Struthio camelus: one gene and its partner. The protein of the gene in region 2 purifies or fractionates together with the protein of the main gene of each other region. This does not show direct contact. Links are inferred from orthologs where the notes say so. Each region holds a gene or a part of one and is shown on either strand. Other genes may lie near its edges.

Region 1 (7,134 bases), on a different chromosome or scaffold from region 2:
TTTGGCAACTATTACTGCTAGCGTGTGACATACACACTATTTGGCGCTCGGCTGCTACAGAGGACTTAGACTACAATACTAAGCAATATTAGTGAAAGCAACGTGAACGTTACAAGCCTTAAGAGAGCAAGTTAGCTACAAGAGTATAAAACTCATTTAACTATTGTAGAATGCATTTGTTACAGAGGAAAATCATACCAGTAAGTATCTCACTGCAACAACTGAGACTGGTAATTCACAACCAATAAAACCCCCAGAGACACAGAAACGGGGGACTACTTAAGAGAAAAGACAGGCGCTTTACTCCTTGCCCGCTGCAAATTTCTGCAAGTACTGAGGGCGGAGGGGAGGCACAATGATGATGATGATGATGATTCCCGGTTTTGCCAGTGAAACTAGACTAAAACACACTAGGCTGTTTATAATGTCAGGCTACACATAAACAAAATATCCTTTGATCACATCCCCAAACAGTTTCAAGACCTGATTAACAGAAGAAAAACTACTTTATCCTGAAGTTCAGCACCGTTTCATCTTCTGTGCAGACTACAAAAGAATTCAATCAAGCACTGTTGCAGAAGGCCGGGGTTAAAAGTGGTATCAAATACACTTTGTCCCCCGCTTACTTTGAAATAGCTGGTAAAGCATTATAATAATGGTGCGATTCATCTCATATTGCCTCATATGCCTACAACACAAAGGTTGACAGGTGAGCTAGCCACTCTTTATCAGACTTGCATTGCACATCTGCTTTCATGCAAAATGAACGGCTTTGTCAAACTGCCTGTTCTCTACCCAGTATAAAGCAGACAAAGCTTAGCTCTGGATGTCTACACTCAAAGGAATGCCATCACAGCTGCCAGCAACAAGCCACCTTTTTTAGCCTAAACCGGGTCCCACAGGGATTCTTCTTTCAGTATCACTGGGCTCACACTTTTCAAGAAGCACAAACACATGATTTCTGCAGCAATGAGACCCCTGTCAGATCGATTATTTACCTAGGCTGCCAGCCAGTAGCTGAGCACTTACGCTGTCTGAACTCTTTGCAGAACATGGTGAGTTTATCTGTTTTACAAACATAAACTGCAGAAAAATAAGATGAAGTAACATACATAAGGCATCTGAAGTACGTCCAAGAGGAGAAATAAGAGTCCCAGTCTATCATCCAAAGAAAGTTTTTGTGACTTCACATTTCTCTCTGATCAGGTAACAAGAGGTGATAACCCAGGATGAAAAGACACATTAAAAAAGAACTACTGGAAAACAGTACTCACGCTCCTTTAATAACAGCTTTAGCTAAATAAAGCTATGCTATTATTTTCTATGTCCCAAATATTTCCTATAGAACAGCAACTTTTTCCTGCTTTCACAACAGTTTTATAATATATGTTGAAAATAAACCTCAGAAAAAAGCTAGAGCAAGTTACGCACAATTTCTGCATGCATCCCCGTTGGAGGGGAAAGGAAGAAGTTTTATTTTCTCATACATGTGCACTGAACAAAACAAAAATACGTATGTTTCATTGACAAGTCAGAGGAAGCTACCTATACTTTAAAATAAACTGCCATAGCTGCCAAACAAAAGATTTGGCAATACCTTCCTACAGAGGCACCAATCTATTTACACCTGGGAGTGCTGCCAATAGAACAGCTACCAAAAACTTCAAAAGCTTCACAGCATGAATAGCCAGCCTCTGGCCAAAGTATTTTATGATACGAGTTAGTGTGTAACACCAATTATAAACCCCCCTCCCAAAATTTCTAAGAAGGGATGTAAAATAGTTCTGAAAGGTTACACTTGTTAAAAAGCTGAAAAAGAAACCTAAATTCTTCAAAAATAAGTTCCTGCAGAAAATGTTAGTTAACACAAAGACATGAAGTACAGCAAGACAGTATTTCTTTAAAAACCCACTGCAACAAATGCTCGAGTCTGCTCCAAGTCCACTAAATTTCTTTAGTTCAAGGCACAGCTAGATCTCAGTCATTTTCTTCCACTTTGTGATCAGAACGCTCTAACTGAATAAAAGGTCTCCTCTAAGCTACTTTGGGGAGAGAAGAAACATGAGTCAACAACGTAAGAGAGGAGCGATGTTTCTGTTGACAAACATTTAACAACTGGCAACAGACAGCAGGAAACGGGCACAAACAAAAGCTTGCCAAATAAAGTTACGCTTGAGCAACAAGGCTCCTTTTCGGAGCAGCACAGATCTGAGAAAATATCCGAGCACATTTAACTGAAATAAAGAGCTCCAGTTGTCCAAGAATGAAGCTGTTAGTCCTAATATTTGTGGTGACATTTTCCCCTCGAATCAGAATCGGTCAGAACTCCCCCGATCAAATTACTGCGTCCTTTGCCAAACAGTCTGGTTTTGGTCTCTGTAGTCATACACATCCCGATGCTCACACAAGCCCTTCTGAGCCACATGAGCAACTTTTTCCCCTCATCTGAAGATATGTTTGTATAAAACACGCCAAAGCAAACGCAGTCGTTGTCAGAGTCCTTATTTGACGACTACTAATGAAAAGCCAGGACCTTCACCGTCTCCTTATGTCCTGGAAATTTAGTTTAGACCACAAACGAAACTTCACGGCAGTGTCATGCGTGGACAAGTGCTTCTGCTTAAGCAGCTATCAGTAGTCAAACTTCCACCCTCCCAGAGAGCTACGCCAGAGTCCAAGGGAACCGAGAGCCGCCTCCCTCCTCCAGGCACGAGAGGACCGAGGACAACAAGGCGGCCGGGCCGGCTCCGTAACCCGCGCCTTCCAGCTGCTCCCTCGCCACCCGCCGCGACCCCGCAGCCGCCCTTACCGCAGCACTTTGCCCACCGCCTGCAGGACCATTTTGCAGCTTAGTCCGGGTTTGGGGCTCTGGGCGAGCACGGGCCGATCACCGGGGAGGCTGCAGTGATCCCCGACCATGGTACAGCGCGGGGCCGGCGGCAGCAGCGGGCGGAAAAGCCGGGCGCGGCGCGGCGCGGCGCGGCGCTCCGCTCCCCCCCGCCGAGCGCCCCCGGCCCGGCCCGGCCCGGCCCCCTGCCGGCCCTGCCAATGGGCCGCGGCGGCTGCCCCCGCCCCGCCCCGCCCCTTCCAGGGCGGACGAGGAGCGCCGGGCGGCCCGGGTGCGCGGCCAGGCCCCCGGACGCTGCCGCTTCTCTTGGCGGCCCCTAAGCAGCGGGACAAGCAGCCGCGCTGGCGGCAGGGTGTCGCCTCCTGACGCTGCCCCCCCGCGGCACGCCCCCGCCAGCCGGGCAGCCCCGCCGCGACCCTTGCTGGAGAGGGGAATAACGAAGCCTTTCACGAGCGAGGCTTGGCACTGCTCTTTAGGGACCGGATCACATAAATAAGGGCACGGGCCAGCAAAAGTGCGGAGCTCTGTATGTTCTGCATCAGAACTACAGTTTCACAGAGTGAACTTCGGCTGGGAAACAGCATCAACATCTTTATCAAAGGACTCTGATGAGAAGAAGAAAGGTGAAAAAGAGTAAGCCAGAAGCTGGGAGAGCCACCTTGCCGTTATGACCTGGCAGGTTCCCAGAGCTAAGAGCCAGAACTTGCGGGGTGGATGGTCCTTAGAGGGCAACAACTGATTAAGTAGGGTCCCCAAACAAGAGATCTGCAGTGCCGCACTTAAAAACCACTTTGAGTTTTCCCATACGCAGTAGCAGATCTCTAGATCGGTGCTGTATGTCCAGTTCCTCAGCCATGCCACGTAACAGCACCTGACACCTACCTTTCTGACAGGCTGCTGTGCCACTGGCTCACAGAAGTAGCATTTACAGGCAAATCACAAGAAAGAAGTGATGGGTAGGATGTAGCATGACCTAGACAAAGCCCTGAGGATACTGCTCATTCTGACATGGAAAAAACTACCTAGACTGTCTTGGAGAAAACAGTGTTTTTGCCCTTTTAACATACATCTCCCAGCACCAGGTGAACTCAGAAAGGACAGGTCTCCAGTTAGTTTACTGAACTGGCATCTTCCCCTTGCAAACAGAAGGCCAACAGCGGTCTTTAATTAAACCTAGCACAGAAAATGCCACTGCTACTGTCAGCTGAAAGGCATTATTTGCTTCAGGTGGTCAAAGTGGACTGGAATGCGGCTGCTATTTGCACAAACCTAAGCAAACCCAAGAAACGCCAGCCACAGGTCCTACTTGGAGAAATAACATGCTACTCTCCATCCCAGTGCCCCTACACAGAGAACCGTATTTTTCATTTACGCACTGCCTGCTAGTCACAGATCCGAGTCAGATCCATAAAGAACTAGTTAGGCCTGCACATCCTTGTGAAGTGGGAGGTATTTTTACTCCCACTTTTCAAGCAAGCCATAAAAGACAGAGCTTTAATGACTTCACTGATATCACACAGGAAGCCTGTGGCAGAAGACAGAACAGAGCTTAGCTTTCCACTTTGCAGTCGTGCATTTTACACAGATTATCCAAACCTTTGAAAAATCTGATGCCCACTCAGTCTTTTTCCCCAAATAAGAACAACTTGTCACAGTAACACTAATAAGCAACAGTCCTAGCAAACAATGGAAGGACACCTGCCAAGAGGGAAGTTGCGCTTTTCTTTGTTCGCCAATGAAATCTGCACAAAGAATTTTGTTAAAAATCTGTCCTGAAAACAACAAGCATGGGAGATAAGGTAGCTTAGGCTTTAATGAAAGTCTGTCTGTCCAAGATAAATTTAAGAAAAATCCAGGGGTCAAACCAAAATAAGTACAGCTCTGAGATAATGAACTGTAACATTTACCATTTAAGAAGGCTGGCCTCTGCACACCTCTGACAGCTAAGCACCACTTCTTCAGAGACAGAGGCTTCAGTGACCTTACATGGGGGCCTAGGATTAGGAACTGATGATTAAACCAAAATCAAATTTGTAAACCTAATATCAGTTCACTTTGACCTAGATAAATGACCCATATTTCTATTCTGTTAGCTTCTGGATCAAACCGATGCTTTCCTGTCTCTTTCTTCAACTATGTGTCTTCACGGCACCTTTTCCAGCCTTTCCTCCATCTGTAAGTATTCCTCTAGTCAAGCAGTATCCCCCTTTTGGATTGACTGCATGCTACAGCTTATTTGTATTACTAGATTTTATTTAAGTCGTGGGAGAAAGCAATATCTCAAGCTCAATTTTAAATGCTCCAAAATCATAAAGATGAAACTTGAGGTTATTACAGGAAGCACAACTTAAGCACGTATGCTTTTATTTATATGGCATCAATGTACAGTAACTTAAAACATATGTGCAGTATGGAGTCTCATACTTTAAACTGAAAGATTTAGAGTGTATGTGCAGACACAAATGGGTTTGCTTGAAAGCTGTTATATCCAGAAAGAGCAGTACTCTATCTAAAAAGCTGTGTATTTATTTGTACACAACCACTGGTATGCTCTCTAGCTATGCCTATTCTTAAGGATGCATATCTGCACTCTCTCAAGGCTGTGTCTCAAAGATATCTGATATTCCGGCTATTTACATCCATCATTACCTTCTTTTTTTTATCTGCCACCTCAACATTCTCTGCATGTAACAACTGCTGAGTCCAACCTGAGATTTAAGTGTGCTTCAACAGTGGCAAAGTGCTTCTTACCGTCCCTTACCCACCAGTCAAGCTTTAAAGGTCACTGAACTGTATCCTGAAATCATCACGAAACTTTTAACAGAAATATCCGTGCACGGGCCAGATACAACAGCAAGCTTTATGACAGTGGCAGTTTTACAGACGTATCAACAAAACAGTATCACCACCATACCCGATGAGTCGACAGCGGCACAGAATAAGGGCACAAAACAATACCGTAGGAAGAGCAGAGCCCCATCTCTCACCATTTACACATAAATATAGATGCTTATAGGACACCGATGGAATGTTTTCCACACTGATCCCTGCCTCTCTCAGCACCAGAGAGCGCTTTGTGATCGATGCCATCTAAACTCAAACTTCTTGTTAGGGCCTAGGCTGACCACCAAGCCGAGGAATGATATTAAGAAATATTATAAATAATACTTGGTATTTATAAACATTTTATAAGCAGCAGTTGCTCAATTACTTATTTATTTGCCCCTTTTAGGGTTCCATAAAAGTTAAGTGTAAAGCAGCCACCACAGAGATGCATACTAGTATCCAGAAGTTTGGAAAAGAAAGCAAGCCATATTAACCCAGACAAGCAAACAGTGCGGGAGGGCGGGGGGGAGATCACAACCATTATTTTGACTAAAGTACAAGTCAGCATTGAGCTATAAGAAATGAGGCCTTGTAACGTCAGATTGTAAAGGTCTGTTTTAAATTAAACTGAAGTTTACTGTGCGTCCCTGCCTGACATACAATGTTTGAATTTTGCTAGCTAATTGGCCCTTTTGTCCAACTTTCGTGTGCTTTTCTACTACCTAGCCAAGTAACCTTTCCAATTACCTCACAGTGCATCCCCAGTTCTCCGGACCAAACGCTCAAAAATTAGCAATGAAAATATGTTATCATTTAGCTTGCCTCTAAGCAATATTTATACCGAGACTACATTCGCTCTCCCTTCTGTCATTGTCACGCAGCAGCAAAGAGGCCAAGAAGAAGCGACACTAATAGACTGTAGAGGCATGAATTTTGGACAGAAGACAGATTGAGGTCAAAGTCAACTCAGTCTTAAAAGGTAGTATGGAGGTGGCGGTAGTGGACCTCTAGTGGACTTTCTTCTCTCCTATAAAGAAAGGCAGAGAAAGCTGGGCCTGTTCAGCCTGGAGAAGAGAAGACTGTGAGGGGATCTCATCAATGTCTACAAGTACCCGAAAGAAGGGTGTCAAGAGGATGGGGCCAAACTCTTCTCAGTGGCGCCCAGCAACAGGACAAGAGGCAATGGGCAGAAACTGAAGCACAGGCAGGTCCATCTGAACATGAGGAAAAACTTCTTTCCTGTGAGGGTGCCTGAGCACCGCAACAGGTTGCCCAGAGAGGTTGTGGAGTTCTCCTTCGCTGGAGATTTTCAAAACCTGCCTGGAGGTGGATCCTAGGAAATATGCTCTAGAGGACCCTGCTTGAGCAGGGGGGTTGGACTAGATGATCTGCAGCGGTCCCTGCCAACCTCAACCGTTCTGTGATTCTGTGAAGGGGAAAGAGATTTCAAGGGTATATTT
Region 2 (7,468 bases):
GACAGCAGTACTTATAACACAAAGCAAGAACTATACAAAGAGAAAGCAATGAATTAAATTAGTGATATTTTCTGTTTGGATTAGACCTCAATCTCTCGTCGTTACTTTGAAGTCTTGGAGAAAATATGTACGCAACTTGGTATTTATTTCTAAATTTCTTCTTCATTTCTGCCGTTACTGTAGTTAGCAGGCATTCCACTTGGATCAAGTTAGCTTTTTTGGCTGTAAGTCTGGAAGCGAAGGAACGCTGAACCTTTCTGAAAATTCTGATTATAGACTACATTGCAAGTTGGGAAAATGTCCCAAGTCCCAGTGCTACAACTTGAGGATATTCAGCAAATTAGAAGGTTCCAGCCAAAGGAAAACAAAAGTAATACATCTCAGTTAAATCACTTGTTATGTTTTGACAGATATATTTCAAGGGATGTGATAAATTCAGCTAATTCATAGGTAAGAAGTTAACAGTGAAATGACATTACATGATGTCCGTATAGCAATCGCTCATTGCCTTTGAAAAGATTCATCTTCCCTCATCAGGTGACTCTATCACAAACTACAACCCACAATTAAACTGACGCCATAAGAATGAGTTTTAAATATTACAGCCAGAGACATCAAACGGGGAGGGGCAACAGAACAAAAGTAGACAGGATAAGCATTTCCAAATGCTGGCTTTTTACTGCAGAATTGTACTCGAATGATTCTAAAGTTAGTTTCTACTTAGTCACATATCAAACATACACCTTCTTAAAACGTGATGATCATCATACCACTTTTGTGTTTGCAAGCATGTTTCAGAGACTCAGAAAGCCCCAGCCTAAACGACACTGGGATCCAGGAACCCAGCAGTTGCCTCTGGATCCTCGGGCCAAGCCACATCTAGGTACCCTCCTCATGAGTTTAGGTACCTGCTCAGCAAAGATTTTCTTTTTTTTTTTTCCGCTTTGGATCCAGATAGCTAAAATTCAATTAACATTTCTTTTGGGGTCTTACCCAATTTGGAATGGAAGCAAGAAAGATTTTTACCTCATCTCCCGTTCTTCATGCTGTGCGATTAGATTGCTATAGAAGTTTTCTAATGTCACCTTTGTCATTGTAACTCGCTCCTTGGTGTGATTACTCATGGATGAGCAGGGTGTTGGGCCTGTCATTGCCATGGCTCTTAGAAAAGAAAAAGGGAGGAAACGTTTGACATTAGAAATGACATCCTTCAAACAAGAACTACAATCAATCAAGTGCTGCTGAATCACAGAGGCCAGAGTTTAAATTTTAGTTTTATCAGCAGAACAAGTGATAACAGTCCAGTTGTCTAAGCTAAGCCCAAGTAGAGAGAAAAAAATATTACAAAATAAAGGTACCAGTCAAACTTCCTGTTTTGAACATTTTTGATCTGAAAATAAGAGGGAAGGAAACTTAAGAAACATGATGCCTCAAAAACCACAATTTTGGGCAGCGCTGCAAATATCTTGCATTTCTCCCAATATTTTCTCCCTATCATTCGTAAATACTTAAAGTTCAAAAACATCATGCTGAAACATCTAATCCAGAAGTTCTTCTTCCTTTGATCCTTAGAGAAATAAAATCATCAGTTGCATGCTGTCTCCTCTACTGTGAATTTTATCAAAATCCTGGAAGTTATCCTGATAATGGAGCAATCGAGAGAGAAAGCCAAAAAAAAAAAAAAGCCTTCAGTTGCTTAAAACAAACAAACAAACAACAAATACTAGTTTACGTGTCCTGGATTTACACACTGAATTCTCTTAAGAAACGTTTCAGAGTACGCCAGTTCCATCTTGCAGCACAGCCCTGGGGCACATTTACAGCCTAACTCTGCTTCTTAAAACACATTCAAATTCAGAGATACCAAATGCAAAATTATATTTCAGCCTACATTTACTGGTCACAGCGTAACTGCTAGTAACGTAACTGACTTTGTAACTATTACTAGAAATTGCAGACAAAGGTAGGTTAGACACACTTCTCCCTTCTGCGATATTTAGGTGCTAGCCGAATGTTATGATTTGGATTTTTCCTGTTTACTTCTTACGGTTTTCTTTATAAGGCATCACTGCACCTTTACAAATCACGTCCTTTACAAACCATAACTGTTTCGTCTGGAATGCCTGAAGGTTTCTTCACAGAAGAGATATAACGAGGGAACCAGCAAGAACCTCTGGCTACACTTCTGCTTGAGAGGGGGTCATGCCCTTACGGGACAGCAGCTCTCAAGTGATGCTACATGAAGAAGCAGGGGCGCGTTCTCCACGTGCACCGAGGACACGGCGGGAGAGACCTGCGTACCGGGAGCGTGTATTTATGAAAACTACGCCGCTGGCTTTCGTTTCCTAGAGAACAGAGTGTGAAAATTATCTAGTAGAAGCAGGTTAGAAAGGGGGGGGAAAAAAAGGGGGGGGGGGAGCGGCGGGGGAAGAAAGCACCCAACTCAAAGGCAGCAAAAGCCACCTGTTAGTTTTTAGGTGCGCTGACTCTGGGGACCGGCAGAGGGGAGCCCGGCGACGGTGCCGAGCAGGTTTCGACCCTCGGCAGCGACAGGTAACTTCGGTGCTGCCCGCAGCAGCGGCGAGGCCCGGCAGCACCGCGGCGGGCCCCGCTCGCCCAGCCGGGGGGAAGAGGGTCCCGGCCACGCAGCCCCGGGGGCCCGCAGCTCTCCGCAGCCTGAGGAGGGGGCGGCCCGCGGCGGGGAGCGCGGCGGGGAGGGCACCGGCGAGAGGTCTCCATGGCAACGAGGCGAGGGGAGGGGGAGCGGCTTACCGGAGCCCCCCCCCCGGGCGGGGGGGGGAGGTGGTGTGAGGAGCAGAAGGCGGCGGCGGGGTCCCGGCGCCTGCGGAAGGAGGCGGAGCTGGGAGGGGGCGAAGCGGAGCGCGGGCCCCAAACCGAGCCACGCGAACCCCCGGCGCCGCCACCGACGGCGACCCGGACGGGACAAGCGCCCCAGACACCGCTACGGCAGCGCGCATGCGTCACCATCCTCCCGGCCCCGCCCTCTGCCAGCGGGGGGGCGGGGCCTCGGCCTTCCCCCTCCCCGCCGCCCTGCGAGCGGCGCATGCCCGGGCTGGCGGGAGCGGGTTTCTCCGGCGCATGCGCAGTGTGCCCCGCGCCTGGGTGGCCCTGGGGGGGGGCTGTTCCCCCCCCCCCCCCACCGCCACCACCCGCTTGGTGCGCTCATGCCTTCCGAAATCCACGCGTTTTGCCTTAAATCAGCCCTTTTTCCCCTCTGGAGCCGGCCGGAGGTGCTTCGAGCAGTCCGTCTGCTGGCACGCCCGGCTCGCCCAGGCCCGGCGAGCCCCATCCTTCCTCTTCCCCCCCTCCGAAAAGGCCACCGCCATCTGTGGCCTCGTGCACCCTGTGGCCCTGCCGCCGAGGGAGGTCGGTTTTGGTCAGGGACAGGCACCGCGAAAACCCCAGGGCGCTGATAGTGACAGTTGAGGCGTTCAGTGCCCCTTCGCTCACCTACTTCAGCTTCCAAGGGCTCAAAGACAGGAAAGGGGCCTTCCGCCCTGTAGACAGAAATACATCTACAGAGGCAAACTCCCCGGTGCACCCAACAGGCCCAATGGGAGAAGGTGTTTTCCCGGAGGTTAGAGCTATTCGTAGTCACGCCTCCTCACTTACACCCCTGGACTCTGAAATCCAGCTCAGCCCAGAGGCTGGTTCGAGGAGAAAGGGCTTCTGTACCCCAGCTCAGCAAACTCATGCTTTGGGCTGTATGACCAATTTTCATCTCAGCCCTCTTCTGCTCCCAGCCTCTGCTTTGTCAGGAACATCTGAAATCACGTTTCACTCATGATTTGAATGGGCTTGGGCATCTAATGGAGATCCCTGTGGAGTGGCACGGACACGTTACAGCGTGGGACCTGGCCTGGGACAACACCAACCGCGTCCCAAGGGTTCCCAGAGTGACTTTTAATTCTTCCCAGAGTGGGCTGAACTAAGGATTTAGAATGTCTAATCTTTTTTCGAGTCTCAACTTCCCGTAAATGACATGGGGCAGCGCCTCTTCCTCAATACACTTCAAATGTGCAAGGAGTGTAATTCCATATTCATTCCAAATGTGTGGAGATGTTAGCAAAAGCAGATCTTCATTTTATTTACATTTCTGCAAAAAACAAGTACAATAGAGAGTGTGAAAGGGTTTTTATTATTATTTCTTTAACAACATCAAGGACTTGTTGGGTATAAATCACAGCACTGAGAAATACTCTCTGCACATGCTATTGAAGTCTAGCAGCAGCAGAGGAATTTCAGGAATGAAAGTGTCATGTACGGTCCCTACATGATGGAAATGCTGATGTATTTGTAACACAAGAAATAGATATTTCATTTCTGAAAGACTGATTTTGCAACTAAACTGGACCTTGCTTTGCAAGACAGAGCTGGCCAGTTTGACGTTAAAGGAGAATAGCAAAACAAAATCTTGTGGCATCTATTTCTCTTTCAGGAAACACAAATGGCCTCATGAAGTTGGTTTTCCACCTAGAAAATGTGGTATGCTTTGGGAGCTCTTCGAGAGAGTTTCATGGGAAAAAGGAAAAGATAGGACGTCTTGACACAAAAGGCTCGAGTATGGAGGCTGGAAGCTGATTCTCATCACTCTTCCATCAGCAGAACAAGATGACTGTCTAGGGCTTAGGCTGGGAGTGGTGGGGATCAGCTGCCAATTTCTACCTCTGTGGCCTGATGAAAGTTTGCCACCGTCCTAAAGGAAAAACCGAGAGATGAGAGACTTCCTAAAACATTCTAGATGCTTAAAAAGCAGGAAAATTATGAACCTTAGGGCCTAAAGCCTAAGTAAAGTTATTACTACTGCAGAAAGTGGCAGAATGGCAGGCAGGATGGAAATAGAAGAAAATCTGTATTAGCAGTCACTGCTTCTTTAGGAGGCAAAACATTAGACTGCAAATGAACCTGTGAATATGCAGATTCATGAACCAAACTTCCTGTTATGCCTGGACTACAAGAGCTGCAAAGAGCTGTCACAACCTTAAGATACCAGTAACAGACAGGGAAGACCCTGTCATGGAAAGAGATATTTCTGGCCTGTGAAAAATCACCCCATCTCACAGTCACACTATTCAGACTGCCTGTTAGGGAGAGAACTTAGGTCCTTATGAGGCTCTCTCTATTCAGCATCTAGGAGTAGTTAACGGAACAAATGAACGTTATTTTTCTTTTGTGTTTCACCCTTGCATTAGAGCTTTTCCTCACAACATCGCACGCCTAAAGCGATGGACAGACTGAGCTGGATTCAGACTAGTGTGAAAAGTTTGCTGGCTGGGCGCTAGGATTTCTCTTGCTGCCCAGCTCTTTGATTTGAAGGAGGTCCAAAAGGTCTTGTGGGTTCCAGTTACCCTTTGGGGTCTTCATATATTGCAGTAAATCTGGCTTCTTTAACAGGATGAAGCCTTGCTCTTTTTCCATCACGTCCAGCAGCTGCTTCATCAGGCTTGAAGTCTCGGCTCTGCTGATGCTGTTGTGGAGATCTGAGGGATCTCGGCTCTTCTGAGAATCCCCCATGGCATTTGAAAGCGAAATATCCCTGCTGCTGGCTGTGTGCACACTACCCAGGGCATTGTGGAGCCAGGTCAGGCGCTTCAGCCCTTGAAATGCCCTCCCTTTGTCATGCATGAGCTGATGCTCCGTCACTGCTCTTTTACTGCAACAGGAAGAAAGAGTTCCGTTAGGAAACAAGTACAGCCAGATCTAAGTTCATATTGCAAACATGGCTGATTTGCATCTATCACTCTTAGCTGCTCCTCAAAGCTGAGGAAGGAGCGTTGGTGGTGCCTGAACATCTTGTGGGGGACAGCCCTGAGGCCGTGTCCATGGCAAAGCTAGTAGTGTGGGAGCCCAGAGCTGGCATGGCCCTTGCAAAGCGCACAGACCCCAGATCAGCGTGTGAGCTCCTCCACACAGGTTAGCTCGGGGCAGCTTGCAAGGCAACCAGGTAGCCAGTTGTTGAAGAGGGGAAGCTGAAACACCATACATGCAGCTATTCCCAAAAGATACCTTGAATCCTCTTAAGACAAAACAAAACAAACAAAACAAACAAAAAAGCCAAATTTGGGCACAGAGTGGCAAAGTGACTTCAGCAGGCTTATAGAGCTCTGCAAATAGAAGTTTGGTCTTTACCCAGATTTGGGCAAATTTGCGGTCTTTTCAGAGCTCCAAATGCTGCAATAAAAATCTTTTTATGAACTTAATGTTCTAGGATTGTTGTGTTTGTTTCTTTCCTTCCAGAGCTGTAAGTCAGGAGTAATTTAACTTAAATCAGTGGTGTCCATGAAATGAAAACAAGCTTTTATTTTCTTAAGACATACCAAAACTTTTGATCCAAATATTGACGGGGGAGGGCAGGCTAATTCCAGAATATTTCTGGATTTGGGGCAGTTTAGAAACAGCTAACTCCAGCTATAGGCTCACACTGCAGATTTGGATCTGAATGGGAGAACCTAAATATGGAATTTCAGTATGTGACATTTCCATGACTTGCGTCGAGCATCTTTGCGTGGTTTGCTACGCTATATTTAAAAGCGTCAACTGAAATGCACTGAAGATGGTATAATTTTTGCACGTAAAATGCAATTGGCCTGATTCTGTACTGCATAAAGGGTGATGTAAAACGTTGTTCTATCAGATGTATGGAATCTTCCTTCAACTATGCCCTGGGGTACATGGCAGCAATGGGGAAGACAGCCCATTAAACCGAAAGCAAGCAGTCTTCTAATAATATTAAGGAAAAGGGTGATATTGCTTACTTTTCAGTGTCTTGAGATGTTGCAAAAGAGGAAAGAAAAAGAAGTGCCAAAAATGTAACCATCTTCAGAGATCTCTGAGGCAGGAACATTTTCTCTCTTCTTCTTTAAATCTGTTCGACAGGACAAGAAGTGGCCAGTATCACCAAAAATCTTTCTCTTTCTTTCACTTGACAAAATGAATTTCAGCCTATAAGCATTAGTAACAGTGGAGCAGTATACTATGGTATATCACCTCAGGACCTGTCAGAGCATCATTACAGCTTGTAGTGTGTATCAGTAAAAGATGAATATATTTCATAGTAAATTGCTACATTTCTTTACTGGGAGTCCTATATCTCCTTTTCCGCTATTGCTTGTTAAGGTATTACTTCCTGCTCTTGTGCATATGCCGGCGCAAGAGATTATTTTATTTGGAACTGATAAGACATCTTCCTGATAAAAACTTAGCAGAAATTTAACCAACCAAAAAAAAAAATCAGGGTTGCTGCTTTAGAAATGTATTACAGACCTCAACAAGAGTTTAAGAGTGGACTCTGCAGTTTAAGTTAAAAGGTGGACCCAGTCCTGGCATTTGGACCTTTAATAATACAAGACTTTTACATCAGCAATACACATGATGTTACTGACATCCTGATCTGCCACAGCACACAAGAATGATATTTTTTTTCCTGAAAAGAAATGGATTTCTGGCT

Evidence for each region.
Region 1: the proteins of STK38 (region 2) and MOB2 purify together in Homo sapiens (affinity purification with mass spectrometry; 7 studies listed by BioGRID and IntAct, with this or other methods). This does not show direct contact. The link is inferred for Struthio camelus from reciprocal best matches to the Homo sapiens genes STK38 and MOB2.

Annotation. Positions count from the first base shown.
Region 1 is NC_090946.1:17,772,202-17,779,335, forward strand, and holds the start of MOB2 (MOB kinase activator 2), read right to left. Parts: upstream 3,018-7,134; 5' UTR 2,920-3,017; coding exon 2,810-2,919; intron 1-2,809. UniProt on the Homo sapiens protein: Stimulates the autophosphorylation and kinase activity of STK38 and STK38L.
Region 2 is NC_090965.1:4,691,046-4,698,513, forward strand, and holds the start of STK38 (serine/threonine-protein kinase 38), read right to left. Parts: upstream 3,003-7,468; 5' UTR 2,989-3,002; coding exon 2,773-2,988; intron 2,346-2,772; coding exon 2,302-2,345; intron 2,294-2,301; exon of another isoform or gene 2,101-2,293; intron 1,162-2,100; coding exon 1,027-1,161; intron 1-1,026. Other genes in the region: parathyroid hormone 4-like, read right to left, coding at 5,272-5,674, 6,777-6,865. UniProt on the Homo sapiens protein: Serine/threonine-protein kinase that acts as a negative regulator of MAP3K1/2 signaling. Converts MAP3K2 from its phosphorylated form to its non-phosphorylated form and inhibits autophosphorylation of MAP3K2.